Linked DNA regions of Pelodiscus sinensis. The protein of the gene in region 2 interacts with the protein of the main gene of each other region in a pairwise test. Links are inferred from orthologs where the notes say so. Each region holds a gene or a part of one and is shown on either strand. Other genes may lie near its edges.

Region 1 (8,008 bases), on a different chromosome or scaffold from region 2:
GGGGAGCATCAGCAGGTGTCAAAATACTGCATATGGAATTACTGCAAGACTGTAAAAGAAAAAAAACTGCCTCTTTACTACTCGAACAATGACTATTCACCAGTCTTCAAGAGGTGAAAAGCCTTAAAATACATCCAAGCACTGAAAAATGTTTCCCTTCAGGACTTCCTATTAAATACGATGAATGTATTTCGAATGCATTATTCTAAGCAGGAAAAGGTACACTACAGAAGTTTAATATTTATAAACACCTATAACTGGTTCAAAATACGTGTTACACGATTACTAGTACTATGAAACTAACCTTTTTGCACAACAGTAAACAAAACAATAGAGTTCTTGAACTTAGTTTAGTTCTTCAGTAGACTTGCTATTCAAACAAAATTCTCCTCATACATAACTTACTACATTAATCCAGGAACAATCTCATTTTTCCACAAGTCAATACCAAGCATTAAAATAAAGAAGGAAAAAAAAGGAGTTTTAAGAGACCAAGTCCTTTAGTCATTCTTGGCATCAATACCTGTGTTGACAGCCTCTCACAAAAGTTTAAACATTTTTATTTCTTAGTACTGTTACAATGTGGGTTCTATGCATGTACAATAGCAGGTAAAATATCTATCCTCGTTCAAGTGTCATTTAACCTGCATGCCACCCAAATATACTAAAATGCATCCTTCCAAACTATTGCATATCCAAACTACATTGTACAGCAAAGTAAATATGTGACTAACTATAAAGTCCAATACTCAGCTCCTTTCAAAAGCCATTCACGTGTATTCATTTACCCTAAATGTGATTTGCTCCTTTGCAAAAAAAAAAAAAAAAAAAAAAAGTTAAGTACTCCTTGACAGGCAAACAGTATTTTCCTGTCATTCCGAATGCAACATGAAAACACAATGATGTACAATGAAGGCCACCTTGGAAGTTAATTACAGCAAAACAGTATGTCTATATCAGTGGCTCCAACCTTTTTAAGCATGAGATCACTTTTTGAATTTAAGTGCAATCCAGGATCTCTCTCAAACCCAAACACCCTTGCCCCACCCTCCTTCCCACCCTTTCTCCAAGGCCCTGCCCCTGCTCACTCCCTCCTCCATCTTTACTCACTTTTTTCAGGCTGGGGGAAGCGGTTTGGGGTGCAGGAGGGATTCCGGACTGAGGCCAGGGCTTGGAATGCAGGCTCCAGCTGGGCACCACTTACCACAGGTGGCTTCTGGGTGGTTGTGCAGGAGGCTAAGACAGGCTCACCCCAGCCTTGGTCCTGCACCACTCCCAAAAGCAGCCAACAAACTCTCTACATCCCTGCCCTTCTCTGCTTTGTGGAGATGGGGTACAGAGAGGAGCACCCTGACATCAGAAAAAAAAACCTTCCTCTTCCCGTGCCCTGCACAACAAGCAGGAGGTGGGGGATATCTCCAAGGTAGAGGGCAGGAGCAGCACAGCAGTGCTGAGAGGGGCAGCTGAAGTGCCAGCACTTCTGATAGCCTCCCAGACAAACTTGTCAGGATCACCTGTCAAAGGTTCCAAGTAGTACCAGTAGATACTGATCTACTGGATAGTGAGCACTGGTCTATATCTATGAGATTGATTTCTTAGTGGGATTACCTAAATCCACAAAAATGGGAGCAACTGACAAGCATTAGCTGACAAGCATTAACTGCCAAGATCACCTTATGTAAGAACAAGTGACAGAATTCAGAAGTAACTATGGTAAAGATGAACAAACCCAGCCACTTCAGACGTGCATCTGACCTGGGTATTAAAACATACACACTTTTCCTCGAAGTATTAATGATTATACCACACTAATACCTAGGTACACACTCAAAATTACTTTGCAATTCTTCACCCATCTAGCTAGGTTCTTGTATTTACACCTATTATCACCATACCCCAGCACCTCGGACAAGCAGCTCTAGGGACGCTTCTGCAAACAAACATCTTCCCTAGGGAGATCACTCACATGTCCATGAACAACGAGAGCCCAAATCCTGACAGCTGTAATTTGCCATCAAGTGTTCGAAAGACCCCGAAGGTCCTTCCTTCTAGCTCGCTGATGAGCTCAGTGGACACACGGCACAGGAGCCCCGAGCTGGCCTTTCGACTGTCCGGTCCATAGGTGCTTGGAGACTGTTTGTTTTCCCCGTTACATTCCAGCTCGGCTTTCCCCTTGGTATTTTCATACCCACTGGCTCTTCTGGTCCATCCCCCCCTTTGCCCCTTCTCCCCCCCCCCCCCCATTTATTTTCGTTCTGAGCATCCAGAGCTCGGGGACTCGGATGGGGGTTTTGCCCGCACGGCCCCATCTCTGCTCGGGCAAGTGCTACCGGCCCAGTGGCCGCTTTGCAAGGTTCCCCAACAAGCAGCCTTGCCCCAGCCCTCCCCTCCCCTACTGGGGGGACCCCCATGCACCACCCCGCCCCTCTCTACCCCTCGGCACCCACTGGGGGGACCCCCCATGGACCGCCCCGCCCCTCTCTACCCCTCGGCACCCACTGGGGGGACCCCCCCATGGACCGCCCCGCCCCTCTCTACCCCTCGGCACCCACTGGGGGGACCCCCTGGACCGCCCCGCCCCTCTCTGCCCCCCCGGCACCCACTGGGGGGACCCCCTGGACCGCCCCGCCCCTCTACCCACCGGCACCCACTGGGGGGACCCCCTGGACCGCCCCCCCTCTACCCACTCACTGGGGGGACCCCCCGGACCGCCCCGCCCCCCTGGCGCGGCGCTACCTCGCGGGTGGTGACCTCCTCCTTCTCGGAGATCTTGAGCAGCAGCCGGTCGTTCTCGAGCTCCAGCGCGCGCACGCGGTCGATGTAGTGCGCCAGGCGGTCGTTGAGCTGCCGCAGCTCCTCCTTCTCCTGCAGGCGCGAGAGGCGGGCGGGCGAGAGCGGGGTCCCGCCGGCGGCGCGGCTCGGGGTGCCCGACATGGCGGCGGGCTCATTCAATCCGGCCGCACCGCGCGCGGCAGGGAGGGCGCGGCAAGATGGCGGGGGCGCCGCCTCCTGGGCGCGCGCGCGGCGCCCGCTGGGAAATGGAGTCGCCGCGCAGGCGGAGCCGAAGATGGCGGGCAGCCCCGCCGCAGGGCATGCTGGGGGCTGTAGTCCGCGCTCGCCTCCATTTTGTATCCCCAGGCCCCAGCCTGCCCCCGATTTCATGGCGCCCTGGGCTGCCCCAGGCCCAGGCCACCGCTCAGCCTCCTGGCTCAGCACCTGCCCAGCTCCCCCCCACTCAATGCCCCCCAGCTAGGCCAGCCTGGCTGCCCCCCCCCCCGACCTACATTCCTGTCCACAAAGAGGACAACAACCTACTGCAGCTGCTAGTTCCTCAGGGCCCGTCTGCACAGCCGTTATATCGAAACAACATCGAACTGGAGGACTTCCTCCTTCTACCCCTCATTTTACAAGGAGAAAAAGAAGTCGAGGGAAGAGGGTTCCTACTTTGACAGCCTGCTGTGTAGACTGCACCAAAATCCCAATTAAGCTATTTGGACTCAACTGCGCAGTTGATGTAGCTGAAGTTGCGTGGCTTATTTCAGCTCCTGCCTGCTGGGTAGACCTAACCTCAGTGAGCTCAAGGGATTGAGATCTGTGCTGTAAATCTAACATTTCCAACCTCGGTAGCATCCTTTCTGGGAATCAATGTGACTGATGGAATGAGATGGTGAAATTTCTGTGTTTTTCAGTTTGTGCATTTAAAAATTCGTGCCTGACAGTGCAAGTCTAACATTCTTTTAATCAATGACTTGATTACCTGCATCCTGCTTCAAAGACATTTTAACACCAGACTTGAAAGAGAATCTTCTGAACTATCATTCATGCTTAAATTGACACTTTACACCTAGGTCTTAACAAATACATTAATTACCTTACCCATTACAAAGATACCTTACCCAATTATCACCTCTAATATCATTAGCTCACAGACATTTCCCCCCCCCCCCCCATCCCCTTTCTGTTCTGAAATTTGATTTGTCCTTTTCATATGTGTTCATTTTTTTTAATTGTATCCTTTGGTATATACGGCTGTGCCAATTTTCTTCCACTATTTGATCTGAGGAAGTGGGTCTGGCCCACAAAAGCTCATTGCCTAATAAACCATCTTGTTAGTCTTTAAAGTGGTACATCGTCCTGTTTTTTGTTTCATATACACCAGACTAACACGGCTACATTTCTATCACTATTCTTTTAGGGTAGTTTTTGCCCAATGTAATATCTACTGACCCTTAGCTGTACGTAGCTGTCCCCCTCACTGTGTATCTGTGCAGCTCATAGTCTCAAACATGGTTATCCTCACAACACCCAGGTGGAGAAGTGCAGTGCTCTGAAACACAGTGATGCTACATGACTCACCCAATGTCACACAGGAAGTCTGCGGCGAAGCAGGGAGTTGCACTCGGGTCTCAGATGTTTCTCAAAAGCAGCCACCGTGGCCACATGCAGCAACCAAGAGCTTTTCTTGTGGCCAAAGCTTCCTGGTTGGTGAGTGGGGGATGGGAACAGAGAAGCGGGTCTTTCCCAGTGTCTGCAAGAAGCAGTTGGACTCTGCCCTCCCCTGGAGCCACAAGCCCTGAAGGGGCAGGCAGCCAGTGAGTTCCCCACTTTCCCAAGGACAGTGGAGCTCTGGCTTCTGCTCTGTGGTGGCAGGCATCAGACTCTGGCCGTGTGGCGGAAGGCTCTGGCTACAGACTTGGGACTTCAGACTCATGCAACCGTGGGCTCCATCCCTCAGCCATAAGGCTTCAGGCTCATCAGCCCCTTCATTGCCCCACTGCTGCCCCCAGCCCTTTACCCATCCAGCCAGCCCCCACTGCCTCACTACCCACCTCCCCATCCAAGGCTTAATTTGTCCCCCACTTTGCAAGGACTGAGCAAGTCTGCTGTGAAAAGTGATATTTGTAAATTTAAAAACAACAAATAGTCCTGTGGCACCTTAGAGACTAACACACAATTTAACTTCTGTGCCAGGGAAGATAATGGACCAAGTAATTAAGGAATTCATCCGAAAACTTCTGGAAGATAATAAGGTGATAGGTAACAGTCAGCAGGGATTTGTAAAGAACAAATCATATCAAACCAATCTGATAGCTTTCTTTGATAGGATAACAAGCCTTGTGGATAAGGAGGAAGCGGTGGACGTGGTATACCTTAGACTTTAGTAAAGCATTTGATATGGTCTCGCATGATCTTATCAATAAACCAGGGAAATATCACTTAGATGGGGCTACTGTAAGGTGTGTGCATAATGGTTCACAATCATGCTGGAAGCACATAACAAGTGGGGTTCTGAAGGGGTCTGTTCTGGGACCGGTTCTGTTCAATATCTTCATCAATTACAGGGCGTCCCCACTATAAGTCGCCCCAGTATACATCATCCATTCCACACTAAAGTTGTTGATGTTTGTAGGAACTGATGTGTTATAAGCCCTCCCATTCCCCGCTATAAGCCATGTGAAACACTCCCCCCAATTTGCTTAAATGGAAGTCAGCCACGGGGAAAAAACTCCCTGCTTTAAGTTGTTTCGCTATAAGTCCAAGCTTTTTGGAACGTATCTTAGACTTATAGTGAGGATGGCCTGTATTTAGATATTGATATAGACAGTATGCTTACTAAGTTTGCAGATGATATGAAGCTGGGAGGGGTTGCAACTGCTTTGGAGGACAGAGTCATAATTCAAAATGATCTGGACAAACTGGAGAAATGGTCTGAGGTAAATAGGATGAAGTTTAATAAGAACAAATGCAAAGTGCTCTACTTAGGAAGGAACAATTAGTTTCACACATGCAGAATGAGAAGCAACTGCCTAGGGAGGAGTACAGCAGAAACGGATCTAGGGGTCATAGTGGACCACAAGCTAAATATGAATCAACAATGTGTCACTGTTGCAAAAAAAAACAAAAAACCAACCATGATTCTGGGCTGCATTAACAGGAGTGCAGTGAGCAAGACACGAGAACTCATTCTTCTGCTCTATTCTACACTGATTAGGCCTCTGTTGGAGTATTGTGTCCAGTTCTGAACACCACATTTCAAGAAAGATGTGGAGAAACTGTAGAAGGTCCAGAGAAGAGAAACAAAAATGATTAAAGGTCTAGAAAACATGAGCGATGAGGGAAGGCTGAAAGAATTGGGCTTGTTGAGTTTAGAAAAGAGAAGACAGAGAAGGGACATGATAGCAGTTTTCAGGTATCTAAAAGGGTGTGTCAGGGAGGAGGGGGAAAAACTGTTCTCCTTGGCCTCTGAGGATATGACAAGAAACAATGGGCTTAAATTGCAGCAATGGGGGGGGGGGGGGTTAGGTTGGACATCAGGAAAAACTTCCTAGCTGTACAGGGTGGAATAAATTGTCTAGGGAGCTTGTAGAATCTCCATCACTGGAGATATTTAAGAGCAAGTTAGATAGACATCTATCAGGGATAGTTTAGATCAGAGCTACTCGACATGCGGCCCGCAGCCTGTCTGTTTGCAGCCTGAAGTGAGGTTTGGGTTTACATGGGACTTAACATGTGGCCTGCAGGTAGGAGCCAAATCAAAAAAGTAGTCAATACAATGGTCTTCTGTTGATGCGTGTTTTAGTAGTTACATTCCTGGACTGTCATTGCTCATTAAAAGTGCTGTCATATGGGTGGAAATTGGGTAAATATTGCATTTCATCAGTATCAGCAGAACTGACTTAAATGGGGCCAGCATGTTGTGTAATCTTGCCTTAATCTTTGTATTCATGCCATTAGTGTGAAAAAAGCTATTTGAATATATTTGTATATATATGCAACCACACTTAAGTTGCGGCCCTCAGCACGTGCTGCGAGTATCATTGTGGCCCCCTGGGGCTTTCAAAGTTGAGTAGCCCTGATCTAGCTGGTGCCCGGTCCTGCCATGAGGGCAGGGGACTGGACTCGATGACTTCTTGAGGTCCCTTCCAGATCTAGTATTGTATGATTCAATAATATATATATATATATATATATATATATATATATATATATAGTATCATGAGCTTTCGAGGGCAAAACCCATTTCCTGCTCATCTCCCTGCTGCTCATCTGAGGAAGTGGATCGTGCCCACAAAGCTCATGATACTATCTATCTATATATGACTTTGTCTCTAAGGTGCCACAGGACTGCTCCTTGTTTCTAAAGTTACAGATTAACACGGCTCCTCCTCAGAGATATTTGTACATTTGTTAATGTCACTTTTGATGGCCTTCCAGGTAGCTAACAAATCAGCTGATGTGAAAAGCGATATTTACAAACAAGTCTGAAAATAAAACCCACAATCAAGAAAACAAGAGACACAACCACAATAAAAAAAGACAGCATGCAAAGTCATGTGAAACACTCCAGGCGGCGGGGGAAGGCTGCCGGGCCACTCCAGCTCCCCCCTTGGGCAAGTGTAGAGGGGGGCACCCCTGCACCAGGCCCACAGGTAATCCCCCAGCTCGCGTTGCTCAGGGGAGGGAGCAAAGGGGTGGAGCAGAGACAGGCTTAGGCGGTAGGAGGGTTGCCCTAGGCCCTGCGCCCCCCTTGGGACATCCCTGGATGTGGAACCCCTATAAACACCTTCCCTGGTACGTCTCTGATTTCAGATAGTCAAGGTGGAATAGGGGAGGAAAATCGCATTTAATCCTTTAACCGGTTAAATACTTAACACACCCCCCACCTGTGGCACAGGGGGCCGGCCGGACTGGAGCAGCCCCTGCCCGCGGGAAACGAAGGCGAGGGCCGCTGTCCAAGACACAGTGGGGCACGTGGTTACTCCTCACTTGCACACTTTCGGATCCTTGTGGGGGCGCTCTCCAGCGTTAACGCTGGGTTCCTGTTCATCAAAGCTGTCCTTTCTGATGCACAGACTCCAGGCTTGCGAGTGGGGGCGCTGCCGCTCAGAGGCAGCGGGGGCGGCCGTTATTCTTCCGAGTAGGGTTGCCAGATGGTTTAAAAAAAAAGACCGGACAAAAAAAAACTTCTCCCCCCTCCCCGGGAGACCTGGGGGGAGGGGTATTTGGA
Region 2 (7,039 bases):
AGTCTCTTTCCTCAGTCTCTCCCACCCAATACCCTGGCTCTTTGCGGAACTCTAACCTCCATCCCAATGGTTTCCCAGTCCCAATCTTTTCTCAAATCTTCCAGGTTGTCTCAGGCAACCTATTCCCACTCCCAGCTCTTGAGTAGGCCTGTGTCTGGTCCTCGTTTTATTAGAATCACACAAATTTTCCTACCAAACCACCTGAGCCTAGAAATTAGGGGAGGCTCACTGAGAACACAGAAGACCACCTCCTCTTAGCCTGAGGCAGCCAGCCAGCATGAAAAAGTGCAGCAGAGTTATAAGCAAATGACAAAAGGGTAGTATAATGGGTAATGCTGAACCTTAACAGGTAGGTGGTGCTTCTATACCTGTCAGAAATAAAAAAGTCCTTACCATGAACACCAAGATTAATTTGAAACAAGCAGCAACAGTATGAGGGAAAAGGGTTGTGGAGGAAGGCATGTATATGAGATCACTGAAAAATTAGCTATATTCACAATTTGATATTTTAATTCCTTTGCACATTAAAAAAAGTAACTGTAGCTCAAACCAGCCACTATTACTTAACAGTTCTCTTTTTTTCTACATTTAAGTTTGTTGCCTTTCACCTTTAGGTACACCTGACTCATCGTACACAAATCTAAACCCTTGAGAGCAACTCCTGAATCAGTAGCATTTGTACAGATCCAGGAACTCACTATGTTAACTAAAACTGAAAACTTGTAGGGAAGTTTGAACATGGGAGTACAGCAGAGAAGGCTTCTATGTAGTCTGCCCCTCACAGATACACAGAGCTCAAGTTATTGAACAGATATTGGGACTATATTCTGCAAATTTTAGTAAAGCTGAATGGACCCAAGATGCTAATTTTTAAGCAATATTATTAAATTACAACAATTTATTTTGGATTTCAAATTACAATGATTTATATCTAAACAAGTAGTATTTCAGTCATCACCATGATGAACCCGCAACAGCAGGATACTATTTCAGTGTTCCTTATAAGCTGTGCAGGCATTCAGGAGATTCAAATGCACTTCATCTGATTAGCAGAGCACCCACAGCTATTGCTTAAATAGCTCTTCACTCCATCACAAGGAAAGATTAGCATGCTTTACCAGTTACTAAGCACTTAAGTATCAATGCCACAAGATATGGCTTAGTCACTTTATATAAAATATGCAAGTGCTAGTATCACTGTTCTAAAACATACAATAGACTTATCCAGTCTCAAGAGAGACACATGGATGCTCACTGGACTAAACAAACCTTGTTTGGGGCTAACTTGAACAAGTAGAATAGTTTCACATCTAGCTTACTGAAAAAACCATAACCTTAGTGATGGCATACACTGGAGCTTAATTATCTTCTTGATATTTCCCTTGTCTTCTGCCAACTGTCTGATTATTTGTTAACTCACATTAAATCATGTCAGATACTGCATTTATGCTTCTTGGAAGCAGGAACACATGTAACTGTAGGCAAGTGGGCAACTCTATAGGGGAGAGTAAGTAAGTTTAGATCACAAAGACAATCCTGTGGATAGAAGCCTGGGATCTCTTCCTTTAATGAAGTTTAAGTTTCTGGACTTTCAGACATGGGAAAGCTGGTCTAAAACTTGGTCTTTCTTTATAAAATATTTTACACACAAACAGCAACACCTCTCTCCAATCCGAGTTACAACGTAAGAACCTAACATGCTACAAACACAATCGTTGCAGTTACCATATTATTTTATTTTGCATACTATAAATAAGCATCCACTAAAGAACTTCCCGCCCAGCAACTTCATTACTAAAGTGTACAGAAGCAGGAACAAGACCTGTCTTCCAGCAAAGCCGAACATTACACCCGCAGATATCCTAGCGCTAGCGGTCGGCATTCAGCGAGCTCCTGAGCCTCACACGACAAAGTACGCCCTAGCTTGAAGTAAAGAAAGGAAATCCCTCCGGCAAACTGCCCCTCTCCTTGAGCACAGGCAGGGAACAGCCCCGGCTGCCGCCGCAGCGCACCCCGCACGCTGGAGACCCTCGGGGAAGAGGTCTGTACCGAGAAGCTCATACCGGCCACTGAGAGCCGCTCTTGGCTCGCGGGGGCCGCAGGCGCCGAAAACTCTGGGCTGCGAGGAAGGCACCGCGCTCTCCCCTAACCCTAGTTCAAGCTCCGCAGACAGGCCGCGGCCGCCAGGGCGCGCCCCGCACCTCGGAGAGCGGGAAGCGGCGCACGCCGCCAGCAGCCCGCTCCCCAGGGGCGGGTCTACATGCGCGGGAAGGGTAAAGGGGCGGGAGCGCGGGCGGCAGGCAGGGGCCGCCAGAGCCCTTTGTGTGGCAGCGCTAAGCTCTCCGAGCGGCAGGGGGGGGCGGACTCTTACCCGGCCGGGGGTGCCGCCTCCTCCTCTGCCCCTGGGACCGAGCGGGGTGGGCTCCCTCTCCTCGTCGCTGGAGAAGTCGGGCGCGGCGGGCGCGTTGCGGGCGGTGAGGTGCTGCAGGTAGAGCTGCACGTACACGTCCTTGCGCTGCTCGCCGCCCGGCAGGCTCACATTGTTGGCGATCAGCTCGCTCTTCAGCTTCTCCTTGGTCAGCACCGACGGGTCCGCCAGGAACTCGGGCATCGCCGGCCTCTGCCGCTCTCCCGGGACAGACACCAACAAAGGGGGGAGGGGATGGGAAATCGCCTCCCCTGCCCAGCGCGATGAACCCCACTCGCGGCGCGCTCGGCGAGGGCTTCGCCCGACCTCCAGTAAAGCGCGTCCGGATTGGCCGGGCGACTCACGAAGTGGTGCTGCTATTGGCTGCGGGGGCGAGTGGGGGAGCGGCGCGAGGGTTTCACCAACATTAGTGCTTTGCGCGAGGAGTAGTAACGCAGTTTAAATTCAGCTCAGGCGGGAGAGGGGCTGGCGTGCTGCTGCCTCCCGCCCCCCGCCGGCGAGCACGGCACAAGCTCCCCCTCCCGCCTCTGACGTCTCCTCATTGGCGCCACATGAGCCCTCCCCGCCCAGAGGAGGTCGAGGCCTTTGCTGCTGGAGAAGGGCCGGGGCGACACCGCTGCCTGGGGAGGAAGTGCCCGACTCCCCTCCAGCCGCGCTCTGGCAGGGGCACCGCGGGGTTTGCTGCCCGCTGTTTCAGGGAGACGTGTCAGAGCTTCCTGGAGCCCGGCGCGAAGGCTCCATTGGTGGCGTGGGGACGGTTCCAGCGGCGGCCAGCCCCAGAGGCGTGATCGGAGCACCGCGTGTCCCATGGTTGTCACAACAGGCACGTTCAGTGGGAGGCTTGGGGATGTGCCTCCTCCTCGCACGCGGACCTGGCCTTCCCCAGCCTTGACCTGGGCACTGACCGGGCGGAGGAAATGGACTCCAGCCAAGAAGTTGCTTTTGCTATTAAAAGCTGCGAGTGCTACATAAAAATGAAATAAATCGCTTTACTGTATTGCAGTTTTTAAAGGGACGTTGCATTGCCCTTGAGTGCCGATGCCACAGCTTCTTCAGGAGTGAAGGAACGTGCCTATGAGGAACAGATTGCAGAACTAAACTAAGTGTTTGGGCAACACAGTGGCAAACGAAATTTAATGTTGATAAATGTAAAATAATGTGCATTAGAAAAATAGTCCGAGCTATACATACAAAATGATGGGGACTAATTTAGTTATAACTACTCCAGAGGGAGACCTTGGAGTCATTGTGGCTAGTTCTCTGAACATATCCACTCAATGTGCAGAAGCAGTCAAAAAAGCAAACAAAATCTTAGGAATCAATAAAAAGTGATAGAGAATAAAACAGAATAGCTTATTGCCTCTGTATAAAACTATGGCAAGCCCATATCTTGAATACTGTGTACAGAAGCGGTCGCCTCATTTAAAAAAAAATTGATAGTGGAAAAGGTTCAGAAATGGTTTGGAATGAGTCCCATATGAAGAAAGATTTAAAAGACTGGGGCTTTTCATTTTAGAAAAGAGGAGATTAAAGGGGGGATATGATAGAGGTCTATAATATAAATGATATGGAAGAAGTGAATAAGGAAACATTATTTACTTCTTCCCAAAACAGGAACTAGGGGTCACCAAATGAGATTAATCAGTAGCAGGTTTAAAACAAACAAAAGGAAGTTTTTCTTCATGCAACACACTGACAACCTGTGGAACTCCTTGCCAGAGGATATTGTGAAGACCAGGACGATAGAAGGGTTCAAAAAAGAACTGATAAATTCGTGGAAGTTAGGTCCATCAGTGGCTATTAGCCTAGATGGGTAGAAATGGTGTTTGTCAGAGGCTGGAAATGGATGTCAAGTGGAGGGGTCATTTGATGATTCCCTGTTCTGTTCACTCCTGGGGTATCTGGCATTGGTCACTGTTGGAAGACAGGATTCTGGGATATGTGGACCTTTGGTCTGACCCAGTATAGTCATTCTTATGTTCTTATGACTGAAACCATTGATTGTGCAAGGTCCTTGGGGCAATGAACTTGCTTTCTCACATTTGTAAAAGGTCCTATATATGGCTCTGGCACTAATAATGAAGTCAAATAGCCTGGAAATAAATAACCAATTTGTATTAATAGAATATTTTATGCATTTCTTAAAAAAACAAAGACAACTATTTTTATTTGAATCTAAATATTAGGGCTATCAAAGGATTTAAAATCACCATAGCAAGATATTAAACAGTTGTGATTAATCACAGTTTTAATCATACTGTTAAACATTAATGGAATACCAGTTTAAATTTATTATAAATATTTGGATGCTTTTCTACATTTTCTAATATTTTGATTTCATTAACAACACAAAATACAGAGTGTACATTGTTCACTTTATATTATTTTTATTGCAAATTTTTGCACGTTAAAAAGATAAATAATACCTTTCAATTTTCCTCTAAGTACTGTAGTGCAATCTTTTCGTCATCAAAGTACACCTATAAAGGTAGAATTTTTACTTTTAAAATAATTGGTTTCAATCAAAACCAAAACAATGTAAAACTTAGAGCTTACAAGTCCCTTCAGTTCTACTTCTTGTTCAGCCAATTGCTAAGTCAAACATCTGTTTAAGTTTAGAGGAGATAATGCTAATGCTTCTCATTTAAATGCTCTCAAGTTTTATGTTGTTTTATTTTTGAGCGCAGTTTAAAAAATTACAGTTATAAATTGCACTTTCACGATAAAGAGATTGGACTACAGTACTTTATAAAGTGAATTGAAAAATGTTCTTTCTTTTATCTTTTTTACGGTACAGATATTTTACTATATATTTAGAAATGAATCCGGAACCAAACTCTGCAACAAACCCTGTTGCCAGCTCTGTCTGCATATCTACTCAAGTGACACCATGACAGACCCTAATCATATCAGATTAATCTTGTCATCATCTACAACCCCCAACTTAAACCTGTCCAACACATTATCAATAAACTACAGCCTATACTGGAACAGGATACCATACTCCAAGAGGCTCTGGGAGACAGACCCATAGTCTCCTATAGACAACCACCTAACCTCAAGATGATTCTTACCAAGAATCAAGAACACATATTCCTGCGCATCCAGAAATATAATTTATGCTATCATGTGCCGAAAGTGTCAGTCTGCTATGTACATTGGACAAACATCTCAGACACTTCGCCAAAGGATTAATGCCCACAAAACAGATATCAGACAAGATCACAAAGAAATAACAGTTTCTTGCCATTTCAACCAGAAAGGACACTCTCTCAATGACTTAACCACCTGCATTCTGCTACAAAGACCTTTTACATCTGCACTTGAAAGGGAATCCTCTGAACTGTCATTCATGTTAAAATTCAACACTCTCCGGGAAGAAATGAACAAATGCTCAAACTATCTTACCCATTACCAAGATAGCTTCCCCAATTATCACCTCTAATACCATTAGTTCACAGACATCCCACTCTCCCCACCTCTAATATCATCAATTCACAGACACTTACCTTCCTTCCCCCCCTGTATCCCCCTCCTGTTCTGAAATGTGATTTGTCCTTTTCATATGTGTTCATTTTTTAATTGTATCCTTTGGTATATATGGTTGTGACTATTTTCTTCCACTATTTGATCTGAGGAAGTGGGTCCGGCCCACGAAAGCTCATCATCTAATAAACCATTTTGTTAGTCTTTAAAGTGCTACATTGTCCTGCATTTTGCTTCACCTAATCATATCAGCCACAGTATCAGGGGCTCCAGGGCTGGGGCCAGGGGAAAGTGGCCTCAGGGCTGTAGACAGCAGTGAGCACCGAAGTGCTACACTGTATCTACTCCATGAGGATGAGCATAACTACATTATTGCCCACTGGCTTTCACACGGGGAGTTACAGTGCAACACTTTGATGTGCATTGATGTTCATATCTCTATAGTCAGCTGCAGGTTTAGTGTAGGCATAGACATCATAGCATTGGTTTACACTCAGTTTACAATTTAAAGATTACCCCAACCATAGGCTCTCGAGGCTAAGTTATACCAGCATAGCTATATTAATGTAGCTACATTGGCATTACCTGCAGCATAGATGCAGCCTACACCAAAAGAATTCCCTCCCCCATATGTACAGAAACACCCAGTGAGGGTACCTATGTCAACAAAAACACAGACTTTTTACACCCCTGAGTAATCTTGTTATTTTTATCAGCTTTTTTAGTGTAGACTGTATGGTTAAACCACTGTAGTTATACTGGGGAGTCATCTCTGGTTTACACTTAACATTTAGATTGGCCTTTATACATCATTCAGTCAACTTAGTCTCCCATGTAGACACATCAAGACTAATAGAAAAATCCCTTTCTTGACATAGGTATTGTCAATTGGAGAGATGGAATACCTGTCTCAAAGGAAAAACTTATAGGCTGTTGTGGTGCCCTTTATTCTGGGATGAGTGGCTTTTTTGGTTAGCTTAAACTGCTTCCAAGGCAATATAGGCTAAGCTAGAAAAAAGCACTCATCTACCACAGTAAGAATGTTCACATGGGGAATTATACAAGTAACTATAGAACTTTAAATCACATTCTAATGCATGCCTGTAAAACTTCCTCATATAAAGA

What was found. The genes of interacting proteins can lie anywhere in the genome.
Region 1: the proteins of TMPO (region 2) and LMNB2 interact in a two-hybrid assay, tested with the Homo sapiens proteins (2 studies listed by BioGRID, with this or other methods). The link is inferred for Pelodiscus sinensis from reciprocal best matches to the Homo sapiens genes TMPO and LMNB2.

What each region holds. Positions count from the first base shown.
Region 1 is NC_134729.1:26,162,629-26,170,636, forward strand, and holds the start of LMNB2 (lamin-B2), read right to left. Parts: upstream 3,010-8,008; 5' UTR 2,935-3,009; coding exon 2,737-2,934; intron 1-2,736. UniProt on the Homo sapiens protein: Lamins are intermediate filament proteins that assemble into a filamentous meshwork, and which constitute the major components of the nuclear lamina, a fibrous layer on the nucleoplasmic side of the inner nuclear membrane.
Region 2 is NC_134711.1:83,218,951-83,225,989, reverse strand, and holds the start of TMPO (thymopoietin), read right to left. Parts: upstream 3,005-7,039; 5' UTR 2,612-3,004; coding exon 2,372-2,611; intron 1-2,371. UniProt on the Homo sapiens protein: May help direct the assembly of the nuclear lamina and thereby help maintain the structural organization of the nuclear envelope. Possible receptor for attachment of lamin filaments to the inner nuclear membrane.